Linked DNA regions of Neodiprion lecontei. The protein of the gene in region 1 purifies or fractionates together with the protein of each later gene. This does not show direct contact. Links are inferred from orthologs where the notes say so. Each region holds a gene or a part of one and is shown in the gene's direction. Other genes may lie near its edges.

Region 1 (4,270 bases):
CATAATCGAATGAAAAGTGTTGACGGTTACATAAGTCTATCATTTCATCTATGTTTCAATAGAAATGGTAAAATTCTGGCAAATGACATTATCGTTTCTTTAATGCCATCATGTCATTCAGTAGAGAAAAAAGAAATGGACCATTACTGTGCCAGCGTTAAACCACTTCGGTAACGAGCATGGCATTGAGTCAAAAACTGCACGTGCAGCTTACCTATCAGCTGATCCTCGCTGCACTGGAGTCACCGCCGAATCAGGCTCTAGTCAACAGCTAATCATGAGCTTTGCACTTTTTCACACTACACTCTTTTGGTCTGACAATTTCAATGTCCGTAGTCATGTACGTATCATTTTTTCACAACAAATAACAAAGAGTATTCACCCATTTATGCTACATAGTTGGTTGAACATTAAATGTAGCTGTCATTTGTTACGCAATTGTAATTTCATACCGATGATAAATTTTTCAATAATCAGTATTATAGTAAATTTTGTTGCAATAAAATACTTGAAAAATCAGGCGTTGCAATTCACTTTTCCACAGGTGGTAACGATAAATTTACCAGTAGTGAAGGAAAAAGAAGTATGTATATGACAACACGTTTAATATTTCTGAATTTTAACAACTTTTTAGCGTGCGAAAACTCCGACGTTGAGGTAGTGAATCAATTGTACGTTCAATGAAAGTTCCGATAACCTCGAAATGTAACTATTATCAGACCACATATCGCTTATAGTACAATTGAAGCAAGTAAATTAATATAGTAATAAAGTCACTCACCATATTCTTTACATGGCATTGGATGAGAGAGCGAACCAATCGCGAGTCATTTTACTTTGTCACACTCTTCACTGTTTACGACGTGTAAACGTTTCTGAATGCACCGTATTCAACGACAAAATCGTATATCTATACACACTCATAACAAAAACTGTACATCACTTAAAAGGACTATTAATATTATCCGGCTCCACAGATCTAAAATCTGAAACTTTGTTGCCACGAAACTACACAAAACTAACCCACGATCCACTAACGAGGACTAACGAACGCGTACTGAGTCTGACTTACCGACCGCAGCTTCCAATTTTTGTCCGGTGAGCCAAGATGGCCACTGCTTCGCGAACGTTCGGCAACGTTCGAAAATATTTCCACATTTCATCACTGCGTCACACAAGATCTTACAAACAATTATAAAATTTAAAACTCCCGTTTGTTTAATTCCACATTTCGACGATAGTAAGGTTTACTTTTCGGATAAATATTGTGAGAAAAATTAGTTTCAATTCTCACTATCGCACTGAAAGAATGACTACGTATAAGCCGAGACCGCCGAATGAATGAATTTTCTCAGCCTTCTTCCCGTAACTTTTCACATCACTTTTTCACCAACCAACCGCTGTCTTCCGCTAGATCGCTACGATGAATTGATGAGACGTAATAATTACGGCAAAGAGTAAGCTACCTTTGATTCAAAGCTAATCTTTTTACAACTTCACTGGTGATTGATCAAAACAGAGTTCGCAAGTCCAGTCTTGCGAATTCCACAATCTTAACATCGTATAACATAACAAACCACGGAGTAAACGTTCCAAGCGTTCTGATTGGCCCGTAGAAGGCAGGCGACAAACAAATACGCTGCGCATCGACAGTGTGCGTGTCTTCCATGCATGCATACGTGTATCAGTGATGTGTGCCCACCACGCATTGTGACAGTCAGTGACAGCATTCGTATCGCTAGGTGTATTTGAGGTTATCCGTGATAGACTAATCGCTGTCAGTAAGTTGTTGAATAGAGAGCTGCTGGGCAGTGGCCTTGGTGAGTTAAAAGTAGACAACACTCAAATGGCTGGTCAAAATTATTTGAGTGATTCGAAAAATCCTTTCTTCGCACTGGAAGATGACGTGGACGATGAAACGTTTTTACGAAGTGCCCCACCGAGATCGCAACCGTCTTCAAGTTTTGCGACGTACAATAGTTACACCAATTACAATAATGATCTTGAACAACAAAGGGATCAGCTGATGGAACGCAAAAATGCCATTGAACAACGAACTCTCCAATCATCCAAAAGATCTATATCTCTTTTGAGGGATTCGGAACAAATCGGGGCTGCTACAGCAGAGGTAAAATTTTTATCATTCACTTGTTACATCCATCTGACCAACAATTCCATTTAAAAAAAAAAAAGAAACTTTTGTCCTGCTCCTTATATGGGAAACAAAGTATTTCTTCAGGCGAAGGAAGATTTTGTATTTTTCCCAGCTGTAACTGGCATTCTCCTTAAAAACATTTCTCTGGAATAATGAAATCCTGAAGTTGTTCTATAATTCCAGTGACCAAGACTTGAATATAACTGTATTTAACCTTTACGTAGATTAGTTCGTTTGATCGAACAATTTATCACTAGATTTTCCGATCTAAATTAATAGTGATTATTCATCGCTTCATTGTCATGTTATTGTGTTTATTTTAGGAACTGATGAGACAACGGGAACAGCTGGAAAAAACGGAGAAACGATTAGACGATATCAACAGTACGTTGCGTTTCAGTCAGAAACACATCCAAGGAATAAAAAGTGTTTTCGGTAGCCTTAAAAATTATCTTAGTGGAAAGTCGATTGACGGTCCCCCTCCTTCTAGCAATACTTTGAAACTTTCTGAGTCTGCCAGCCCTAGGTCATTATCGCCGTCACCGTTATCTGAACCTCTGGATCGCGTGCAGACCAATCTTTCCAATAACCATCCAGCTTTGCGCATTCGAGGACTTTTAGATGAAGAAGAACTGCCTCGTCCCAGCGACAATGTCAGTGCTATTTTAGAAAAGAATCTAGATGAAATGAGCGGTTCTTTAGCAAGATTAAAGGGCTTGGCTGTTGGATTAACGGAAGAAATTGATTCTCAGAATGATTTGATTGATAGTGTTATGGATAAAACGGAAAAGGCAGATATTACAATTGATAGGCAGAATAAAGACATTACACGTTTGCTGAAAAAGTAAATCAGCGGTGTGCAATAAACAATCGTAACTTCTTAATTGATTCAACAGTCGAAATTGTGTTGATCAATTAGTGGATGTTTTTTATCAGGTCTCTGTAATAAAAACAGAGCCTTTTTCTCGCTATTGCTGAAGTTCTATCATTTATTGCAATGAAACACTTAATCACTGTGGATTGCTGAAACTGGATCCAGATAATCTCGAGTAGCAATGTGGTGGTTTTGAGGTAGTCGTAATATTATGATAATAGTAGATTATTGTATAACACATTCATAACGAAATATTATGTATTATTATATATTACAAACCAAATACTTGCATAGTGAATTTTATAACGAACAAGCATTAATACACCCCCTTTTTACAGAAGTCACTGAAATTAAAGTATATGTTCCATCTCTGATTTCTAATAAACGTTACACTTCGGGTACGTGATCGTATATGTAAACAGAACCAGAGTAAATTCGAGCTTTTTAAAACTCAAACATGTAGGTTGGTGTAAATGTAATTTTATACGGGGCGTTCCGAATAACTTTGTTGGTTATTCGAGATGATTTCAGATGTTGTTGTCTTTGTTACTGTTAGCAAGAGTAAAAGTAGGGGTAAAACCATTTCCTGGATATACCCAAATGGTGGTGAATTTCCTGCATATATAATATTTTTACGGCAATGCTTCCGAGGAATACCATCTCAGTTTTATGAATCTTTTCCATCAAAATGCGGCTTATCCCAAAAAATATACCGTCTATGCATTTCGATATAAAATAAGCAATAAGGGAAGCTAATCTGCGAAACTCGTTACATGAAATGAGAAACAATGACGATCATGTATCATCTCTGATTGATAGATGTGTCAAGATTAGGCATTAATATTATCTAAAATGACAGGCGATTCATTTATAGATGAATATGTTTTGTGAGGCAGAAAATATAACTTAATTTATATTATAAACATTAAAGATATTAATATATATTAATTTATAGTGTAACTTATATTGTCAATTGTACCAGGAAATTGTGTTACATTTACCGATACTCCACGACAAACAGTGACTGCTCAATATGATACGGTATTATTAAGATACATATATACATCATTTGTAATCACATTTTTATCCTGAAATTTCTTCCTATTGTTTTAAAGAAAATAAAAGCCTACGTTTCGTGTACGGGATATGCAAATTATTTTCTTCTAACACTCATACTGTAAGCGTCAGTTGCACTTTCTGTTATACACAATTAAAAGCAAAAAATTGTAATCTATACCCAG
Region 2 (5,569 bases), on another chromosome or scaffold:
CGACAGATTTGAATTTATTGTAGACAATGCGTCCAGATGCAAAGGAGTATCCACTGTTTAAAATCTCTGCAGCCAATTTGGAAGCATCAGTAAAAGTTGGTGGCAGGCGACCAACTTCGGAGGCAACAAACAATATATTATTGGCAAAAATTCGGGCTAAGACAGCTCGTGATTTTTCACCTACGCATATGATTTTTGTGTTCTCTTTATCTGCAGGATTTGCAAGGAGCTGATCTCTAATGTTGCGGGCAACTCCTGTGTGGCAAGCTCCGCAGAGACCTCGGTCTGAGGTAATTGCAATTACGAGTTTGCTCGGTACTCCTTCCGGTGCTGCAATTTCAGCTTTTTCATAAAAAGCTTTGGTGCCTTCTCCAAGGGGGCGGGCCTGTTTCAAATCCCTCTCCGCACGGTTGTACTTAGCAGCGGACACCATCTTCATCGATTGAGTAATCTTCTGGATGTTTTTAACTGACTTCAGACGCAGTGAGATGGATTTTAAAGTCGCCATACCCCGCTGTTGAAGCTGCTGCGAGTGCGCAGGCACTAAAGTTAACGTCTGACGAAGCATCTTTACTTTTGGCCTGCCCCTGAAATTAATTATAATCGTAAAAAGACTTGCTTACAAGGTGAATTATGTCAGACGAGCAGAAATTTATGCCTGTGTGCGTGCATAAGTGTGTAGACATTTATGTAATCGATTCACGCAGATAAGTCATGTGCCGATTTAATGTATGCAAATAATAACGCATGATTGTACATCGGTCAACGACAATAAAGTCCTTGGATAATGATTAAACCACGATACAATTACAATTTACGGCTTCTTTTGTTAAAAACAACCGTTCCAGACACTTACCCAGAAATTTGGCAGAAAGTTAGGTAGGAAAAGCAGGGACAACCTAATCCACAGATACTCTACCGCAAAGAGCATATGAGTAACAACCGGGACTAATGGTCAATGGCCAACTAATGGATAGACAGACGAAATTGCTGACAAGGTAGACACGAATACGAAGGCCTATCCTGTTTGTTATGTTAATTTGTCATCCCTGCTATAAAATATTTCCCAGCCCCGTCGAGTGAATTAAATATTGTAAAGCTTGAAAGGATTAAACCATTGAACAGCTGTAAAACCATTTAAAATTTTTTATATCACGTAGGCCGCTTTTCAAAGATCATCTCCCGGCCGTTGACTCAGCTTGAGCGGCATAATGTTTAATTCCACCGCCAGATGGATGCACCACTATCAAGTCATAAATCTATTTAGGAAAAAGAACGGTAATGTTCTTCGACTTTGGCGTATGATGTATGATAAAACATGCATACATATAAGTTCAGGCATTTAATATTACCCTATAAATGTGAATATCACTTTCATTTCATATCAAAAAATAACACCCGCAAAACACGGATCAACCTAACCTCAATGTATGGCTCAATTTCTGGTTTCACATAGATAGACGAACGCGATTGGCAAACGGCGATCCCCCCTGTCTTCCCTCAGTGGAAATAAGTGAAAACGAATAGGGTGGATGTTTCCTTCATGGTGACGTCAGAGCAGGTCAGAGCTCACTGGTGGCGCACAGTGAATGGATTTTGTCAATAAAGCGAGTGACAGTATAATAGAGAAATAGCGAAGTGTTTTAAAAAGTATTTATCATAATGGGTGACAATGAGCAGAAAGCCATACAGCTCATGGCTGAGGCAGAAAAAAAATTAACTTCCTCGAAAGGTTTCTTTGGATCTCTTTTCGGGTGAGTTGATATTGATTTGTCAGAAAAATGACAGACTGCAAGGATGGACGAATTTATTGATACGTACGTCGCAATTTGACGAGCTCCTTACTGATTTGCATAAACGATCCTATTCCTAAGTGACATATTTTCGATACATTTTCACGTATTTTACTATCACTTGAAATTCATCGTACGAATCATGAGAATTCGCCAATTTCATATCATCAAGAGTTTGATATTGAAATCAAATGAATATTTTTTTAATGTACGTGCATAACTCGACCCCTTCATTGCTACGTTTAGGCACTACTTCCAGGTCTAACAATTTTCCTCCAATCTCAGTTCTTAGGGCATAACAAACCTTCCAAATTTACACATCAATTTAGAGTCAGTATGTTCAATGGTTGAGTGACAAGGTCCATATGACATTCGACAATCTTAAATTTACACACATGATTAAAGTTTAAACAATAATTTGCCGAATTGTTATTGTATGTCGTATGTCCTGTACGACTGAACAAGTATATTGTGTAAGTAGGGTCGCGAGTGCTTGTAAACTTAGCATCCATTACCTTGTTCTTTTGTGTTAATCGACTGAAAACTGAAACAATTACAAAATGTATTCTTAGTCATATTTTTTCCTGATCTTAACTTCACAATAACATGATATGGTATTATTTAGCTTTGTTTATTCTCATATGCAGAATGCTTCCTGTCGACATTCGGACTTCACTCAATCCACTGAATTAAGTTTATTTTTGTAAAGACTATCCATTACATTTATTCTTCATGGACTTATATTTACCCAATTATTTGTTTATGTGTATTACTTGCAGTACAAGATATCGAAATACAAATAAGAGTATAAAATTACTTATTCACTGAGCAATATATTCGGGTGATTACTCGTTGATTCAATCAAGGAAAGGTATGCATTTCAAAAAAATTCATTGCTGAGAGATAAACTTCATTTAAATGGTTTCACAAGTATTGATAAAATGTTATGCAACGTGATTAATTAAACTGCTGAAGATATCTCAGTTTAACATAAATGCTTGATTGTTTTTTATAAAATGGATAACGAATTTCTAAGAATTATCTTCTACGATATTTTAAGTATCATTAAAAATTCACAGACATATGTTACTGTTAAACAGAAAAATCATTTCTTTGATGAATGAGGAACTTGCTTGTCCGAGACGAAATTCATGTTACTTAACAAACTGATGACAGAAAATATTCTCAAAAAACACATTATGCCTACATTAAAAATTGTTTCATACAACTGATGGAGGTAAATTTGAAGATCATAGTTAAACCAGTTTAGGAATGAAACTTTGAAGCATGACCAAGCAATACTGAAGATATAGTTTGTTCCAATGATGTTTCCGAATCTCACATACAAGAAATTTATATTAAAAAATTTCAGCCTGTATCTAGCTTGTGAGATATTAGGGAAAATCTTGTCAATCTATCTGATGAATAGATTTCATTTTGGCATTGATAATTTAATAATCTAAAGCGGTAATTACAAACTGCAGTGTAATCGTTGTGTTATTCGTACAAAATATTTGAAAAAAGCGCGTATTACTCCACAGAGGATCGTCGAAGGTAGAAGAAGCAGTAGAATGCTATCAGCGTGCAGCAAATATGTTCAAAATGGCAAAAAAGTGGGGAGCCGCAGGAAATGCATTTTGTGAAGCAGCTAATCTTCACGGCAAAGCTGGTAGCAGACACGATGCTGCGACAAACTACGTAGATGCTGCCAACTGTTATAAAAAGTCGGATCCAAATGGTATGATTGTTTGTTGTGTGATATAGGTTGAACTGTCTTGAATTGCAATCACTGAACGTGCCTCTCATTTGACGTTTTTTTTTACAATATTGTAGAGGCAGTTAGCTGTCTTCTAAAAGCAATAGAGATATATACGGACATGGGAAGGTTCACAATGGCTGCTAAGCACCATCAAAGTATAGCAGAGATGTATGAGAGTGAGTCTGTCGACCTTGATAGAGCAGTAAACCACTACGAGCAGGCAGCCGACTATTTCCGGGGTGAAGAAAGTAACTCTTCCGCAAATAAATGTTTGCTCAAGGTGGCACAATATGCCGCCCAACTTGAGAATTACGACAAAGCGATCCAGATTTATGAACAGGTTTGTGTGATTCATATTAACTGTTTGGTTTACGATAGGATGGTAGGGGATCTTAGTGTATAAGAATAGAACAAATTAAACACTTGCTCTTATGCGAGATGTAATGTATAATTTTATAGAGATTGATGACTTACAGGTCGCCTCTTCGTCCCTCGAAAGCTCGCTGTTGAAATATAGTGCGAAGGAGTACTTTTTTCGTGCTGCATTATGCCATCTCTGCGTCGATGTTTTGAATGCTCAACACGCGATCGAACGTTATCAAGAACAATATCCTGCTTTTCAGGATTCTAGAGAATACAAACTTATCAAGGTAAATTAGTAATTTATTATCAACATTAAATGAAATAAAGTTCAAATTTTACGTGGATAAATGCCAGATACTTAAGATAGTTAAGTATGTTTTTGTCCTAAAATCTTCACCTACTTTTTTGTTGTTGACACAGACGCTAATCGAGCACCTAGAAGAACAAAATTTGGAAGGATACACAGAAGCAGTTAAGGAGTATGATTCCATATCACGGTTGGATTCCTGGTACACAACGATCTTATTGCGCATTAAGAAACAAGTCAACGACAACCCAGACCTACGCTGATCTTTTCACTCTTTTACACATAATAATATGCCATTAATATCTTCCCACTCAGATTGTGCACATCTTCCTCTCATAGCCAGGCTTATAGAATATCTTCAGACCCTTGCGTCTTGAAGGGGATAAACGAATACTGTGTTTTATTAAAGTACTCACGAAATTGTTTATCGTTCTTAGAAATGTGTGAAGTATCATTGTATAGAATTGAAATATATTCAAGAATGGTAGTAAATACATTCTGTTGGAATCGGTTTGTAACACTAGTACGTCAATATTCTTCATTCACACTTACACAGGGCCTGATTCAATTTGGAACGGATGTTATTAAATTTTTCTACTATCCGACACTTATGAATTTTTTGCTAGTGAACATATAACGATGAATTTTTTTGTTCCTAAAAGTACATGGCACGATCACTACTGAAGGTATAGCTCAGAGGCACAGATAGCGATAAAGCCTCATTAGGTTGTTTATAACGTTTAGAAAGGCTACCTGGATTACAATTCAGAATAATAATGTGTATATGTTTCATTTAAATTAAAGTTCGAACTTCCAGGAGAAAGTGTTGTTTCTCATTCTTCCAGTTCCCGTTCGTTACTTTGTGGCAATTTACAATCAGTGCTAACATAAGTGGGGATATATTATCTACGACGAATTTTTTTTTTTCACATTTCTGAATTAACTGAAACTCCGTTCTTTTGAAACGTTATAAAAACTTAAAATTCAATTTTGAATCGTTGTAACTAATATCATTGCTTTGTACTGTTTTTCACCTTAAGTGACTCATAATTAGTAACATAATGCACTGACTACATTCATATATACATATATACTTATAATAAATATACATATATTGGCTATAATAATGTTAAATTAATAATAACGTAATATTTTACCAGTTTCATTGAAGATATACTATTTAGCTGCCGAGTTAACCATGCAAAAATGTTAATAATGTTATATAGTATTGGTAGGTTATTCTCAATTTCGAGATTATTTCAATGTTGTGTAAACGTATATGTCAATATTGTATTTTGTATATTACATATTAACAATTATTCCCGACAAAATTGCAGATTTTTTATT
Region 3 (4,240 bases), on another chromosome or scaffold:
TCGCATTTAAAATCCTTGAAACCGGCATGAATTTTCATGTGGTAATTCAGGTGATCTTTCCTTGCGTACTCCTTGCTGCATAAAGGACATCGAAAACTCCTCTTCAACGAACTTATTTCCACACTGATATCGTCGCCACGATTCTTCACCCTCTCAGACAAAAGCGATATATTATGATCCAATCTACTGCTCGGCTCCTCATACAATTCCTCAGAGTGCTCCTCTTTCATCAATATCGTTGCGTAGAATTGCGGATTGTCCACTTCTTCTAATGCCAGCACCTCTTCCCCAACTAATCTGTTATCTGTCGCATCAAATTCGGTATCCATCGGAACCTTTGAAAATTAAAATGATGAATATCGCAGCGCTTGTGAATTTTTTGCTTCTATTTTAAAGTTAAAATACTTTCCAGCCCTATTTTTGCATGTATTGACATAGTTTCAGCAATTGCAGTATAAAATCGAATACCCACACATTGTTATTTGTGTGCAGAAAATATCAACAGAACGTGAAGTTTGGTTAAACTGTAATAACATGTAATTATATTTATTTATTACCGCACCACTTCAATTTCCGGGAATTCGACAAGCGGTTCTACTTTGATGCACCGGGAATTCATCGTCAGCCCCGAGCTGGTGATATCACATCAATTTCTTCATCACTTATTTCTATCTTCTACTTCTCTTTGTTCTTCTGTCTTTTATTTGACTATCAATTTCCAAGTCCGGAAGCCATTCACCAATTCAATTATATTTCGATTTTCTTGTCCCGATATAGAATGTTTTGACGTTTCTACTGTCAAAACATCACGATGCATAAACACATGTCAAAGTGTCTAACGGGCGAAAACTGGGTAACAAATACGCCGTTGCTAATGTCGCGCTCTCTTACATCTGCCGTCCGACCAATCCTAAGCGTTTAGTTTCCGTTCGATCCGTACGTGAATAACATGAAGTTAGCCGCCCGTGCTATCAGCGATCTCCTATTTCTCTCACCCTATCGATCAGGCGCGTAGCTCTAACTCCGTTTTATGGTGTTTTCAAATGGCTACACTGCGTGCAATTTATCCTTATTTTTCACTCAATAGCGAGGACGAAATCCTAGGGAAAATGCATTCGTGGGCACTCTGGCTCCCAGTTGAAAATGAAAACACCTCTAAGTGCGTTCCGAAATTAGCTGCCAGTGTACTATCAACAATCTATTACCTCTCTTGCGCTACTGAGTTCTTGAGTAGCTCTGCCCAGCCCCCTGACACTCGCCACTGCTCGCATACTAAAAAATTGTACGCGTTTTGTCCCCGTTTTTTAGTTCCTCTACGTAGCGCCAGTAGATTTCTGACACGCTCGCTGCCCTCGCTGACCGCGCGCAAGCGTGTCAGATAACTACTAGCGTCACTAGTGGTGGAAATTGGCGGCAGAATCGAGGAACATCTTGCGAACCACTTTTAGCAGCGTGTGTCAAGGGGCTGGCTCTGCCTCCATCCTAGGGATTTTACTGGTGCCAACTAGTTTCGGAACGCATCTTTTGACTCGACAGGGGTGCCTAACAATCGAATAAAGCCCGCAATATTTTTATTGTCCTACCAGCATCAAAAGGTAGATTTTTCTTCGCTAAAATTTAAAAACAAATACATAACCTAAAAAACTGCACAAGGAAGAAGGGCCTTGACCTGTTCAGTTCGATATAGCGGTCTCTCTCTTTTCTCAGTCTCTCTCTGTTGCCCATCTTAGCGACAGCAGCACTCCTATCGAATTTAACGCTAAAAATGTACTCCACTTTCATAGACCACGTTCCCAGTACAGCGTTCGGTCTCCTTCTCTCTAGTCTTCATGTCTAGGGGTGTACCTTGATACATACGCCAATGGAAAGAGAAATAACAAAGAAGAAAAACAACTTTCAGTGCGCCTGGTGCTAAAATCTGCAGTTTCAAGTAACTAGAAAGCAATAAAATCAAACCAACGAACTACGTCGTTTTGTGACTGAAAAGGATCAGCAATAAACAAGCGCTGTCAGACGATAATTTAGCAGCTAACGTCTTCTTGGGTTAAAACACGTAGGCAAACCATGTCGTTGCACAGTGAAACCGTAGGAAATAAGCAACCAATCAAACGGCTGGAAATACCAATTAGCAAATTCAATGACGTCGCAATACCACATCACTTAGGAATGCTCAGAAGACATAAGACTAATATCGCCAAGGTTGAATTTTTTTCATACATCGATAACCCAATCTCCCATCTGCCCGATATTTTGCTCATGAGAAGAAAAACGGCAGCTAACATGATCAGTAATCTTGATCATCATGGTCTTACTTTTTAGCTAAAACAAACCGGAGACTGGGACCGTATCTATAAAGAACAGACGAATGCTTCTCGTCTGGTCAAACAGCTTAAACAGTTATTGTACGAAATGGATGTTCTGCGAGGCCAAGTACAAGACAGCGATATCGCTAAGTTCGATCAACTCACAGCATACTCTAGAGCAAGTACAATGAATGCCATCAAAGAATATTTGGGTAAGCATTGAATAATTTTCGCATTGTTCAAATTTTTTGGACATCTGCTGACTGAAAACTAAAAACTAAAAAGTAAAGCAGATATTGTAAGATGGAAATGATTAAATTCTAGCCATGTTATAAATAATTTGTTTATTCTTCCATACTATTAATAATGATAATAATAATAATAACAGCAATAATAATAATAATAACAACAATACTCAGTTATCAATAATTGCAGCGCTGGACCTCAATCTGCCTACAATGAACCGTTTGTCAACCAAAGATGAAGATGAGGCCACAAACCACCCATTTCAGGATGGCAATATCCAACTGCACGCAGAAGAGAAAGAATTGGAAAGGCAGCAGGCCTGTCTGCATGCTTGGAACTCTCTGCAGGATGATATGATACAGCTGCATCAATTGTTCGTAGACTTTAATCAACTTGTTCACGTGAGTTTAACTTTTGAGAAATTTGCTTCTACTACTGTTTGAAAATTCTTTCAAATAATATTTCAACGTTTTGTTCAAACTTTCACAGGATCAAAAAGAGTTTGTAAACAGAATAGAAGAAAATACTGAAGAGACTGAAGTAAATGTCACGGAAGGTACAAAGTTCCTAGAGAAAGCAGGAAAATACAAAATAGCGGCATACCCAATAGCTGGGGCTCTAATTGGAACCTGTCTTGGAGGTCCAGTTGGTTTAATCGCTGGTTTAAAATTTGGTGGTCTCACGGCGATTGGTTGTGGGTTGTTAGGTAAAAGTTATTCGTGTAATGAAGTCGTCAATATCATTACAAGTTGTAATATCGCTTTTGTTTTTCTAATAGGTTTTACTGGAGGAACGCTTTTGAAGAAAAAAACTATAAAATCAAGTACGGAAAGCCAAGCAGAAAACAGACTTGAACGTGTTCATGGTTCTGATTTGCCGTCAGAAAATATAAAAGCTAGCAATAAACAACTTTGACCATTACAAGTTAAACGCAAAAAGTGTAAGTTGCATTGCTCCATGATGTAGAGGTGAAGGAACGGTTAAAAAGCAAGTAGCACCGTAAAATCCGCACTAAAAATAAAAAGGATATGAATACGGAACGAATATATGGCTTGATAATAAGATAGCCTTCCTCAAAATGTACCTAACTGTGATCTAAATTGTAATTAACCATGTACAAATATTTTACTAATTGAATAAAATCACTCGCTATTTTATACATTCAAATTCAGGACTATGCATAACGTCCAATCGGAGTCTCATTGAAATAAGTAAATAATTCTACCTAATTAATGTTCGGAATGCGGTTCCTTAAAAGCTTTGACGTACAAAATATTCCCGTACCTTCTGTCAAGGGGATGGTGGTGATGATGATCAAGACTTTTTTAATTCTGCGATCCAAGATAAATTCAATTTTCGCGGTTAACGGTGCAGGCTGTCAACCGTGACGACTGAAACAAGTGCCACTAGATGCTGCGACTCTACAGGTACAGTCGATTATAGAAACCACCAATTGAAACAACTGTGAACTTATTCAATTGTTAACCGTTAAGTTCAATCGTTGGTGCGTAGTTTGTTGTGTATATTTACGAAAAACCGACCTCGTGCTAGATCAGAGCCATTCGATGTGTCACATTGAATATATGTATTCATAGTCAATGAATTAAAATTGTTCCTTCTTTAAAAACTACCGCTCAATCCAGCAAATTGAACACAGAATACTGTTTTAAGGGAGCTTTTTTCTTTTTCGT

What was found.
Region 2: the proteins of synaptosomal-associated protein 29 (region 1) and alpha-soluble NSF attachment protein purify together in Drosophila melanogaster (affinity purification with mass spectrometry; 3 studies listed by BioGRID, with this or other methods). This does not show direct contact. The link is inferred for Neodiprion lecontei from reciprocal best matches to the Drosophila melanogaster genes Snap29 and alphaSnap.
Region 3: the proteins of synaptosomal-associated protein 29 (region 1) and syntaxin-17 purify together in Drosophila melanogaster (affinity purification with western blotting; 4 studies listed by BioGRID, with this or other methods). This does not show direct contact. The link is inferred for Neodiprion lecontei from reciprocal best matches to the Drosophila melanogaster genes Snap29 and Syx17.

What each region holds. Positions count from the first base shown.
Region 1 is NC_060262.1:33,298,478-33,302,747, forward strand, and holds synaptosomal-associated protein 29, read left to right. Parts: upstream 1-1,701; 5' UTR 1,702-1,846; coding exon 1,847-2,128; intron 2,129-2,478; coding exon 2,479-3,003; 3' UTR 3,004-3,722; downstream 3,723-4,270. Other genes in the region: uncharacterized protein LOC107219610, read right to left, coding at 1,073-1,158.
Region 2 is NC_060263.1:28,720,381-28,725,949, reverse strand, and holds alpha-soluble NSF attachment protein, read left to right. Parts: upstream 1-1,542; 5' UTR 1,543-1,662; coding exon 1,663-1,754; exon of another isoform or gene 1,755-1,797; coding exon of another isoform or gene 1,798-1,817; intron 1,818-3,334; coding exon 3,335-3,531; intron 3,532-3,626; coding exon 3,627-3,892; intron 3,893-4,028; coding exon 4,029-4,202; intron 4,203-4,335; coding exon 4,336-4,485; 3' UTR 4,486-5,045; downstream 5,046-5,569. Other genes in the region: ATP synthase subunit gamma, mitochondrial, read right to left, coding at 1-568. UniProt on the Drosophila melanogaster protein: Required for vesicular transport between the endoplasmic reticulum and the Golgi apparatus. Also between the endosome and phagosome.
Region 3 is NC_060261.1:5,330,153-5,334,392, forward strand, and holds syntaxin-17, read left to right. Parts: upstream 1-1,827; 5' UTR 1,828-2,064; coding exon 2,065-2,199; intron 2,200-2,319; coding exon 2,320-2,515; intron 2,516-2,738; coding exon 2,739-2,950; intron 2,951-3,038; coding exon 3,039-3,255; intron 3,256-3,327; coding exon 3,328-3,464; 3' UTR 3,465-3,716; downstream 3,717-4,240. Other genes in the region: gastrula zinc finger protein XlCGF8.2DB, read right to left, coding at 1-335, 563-619.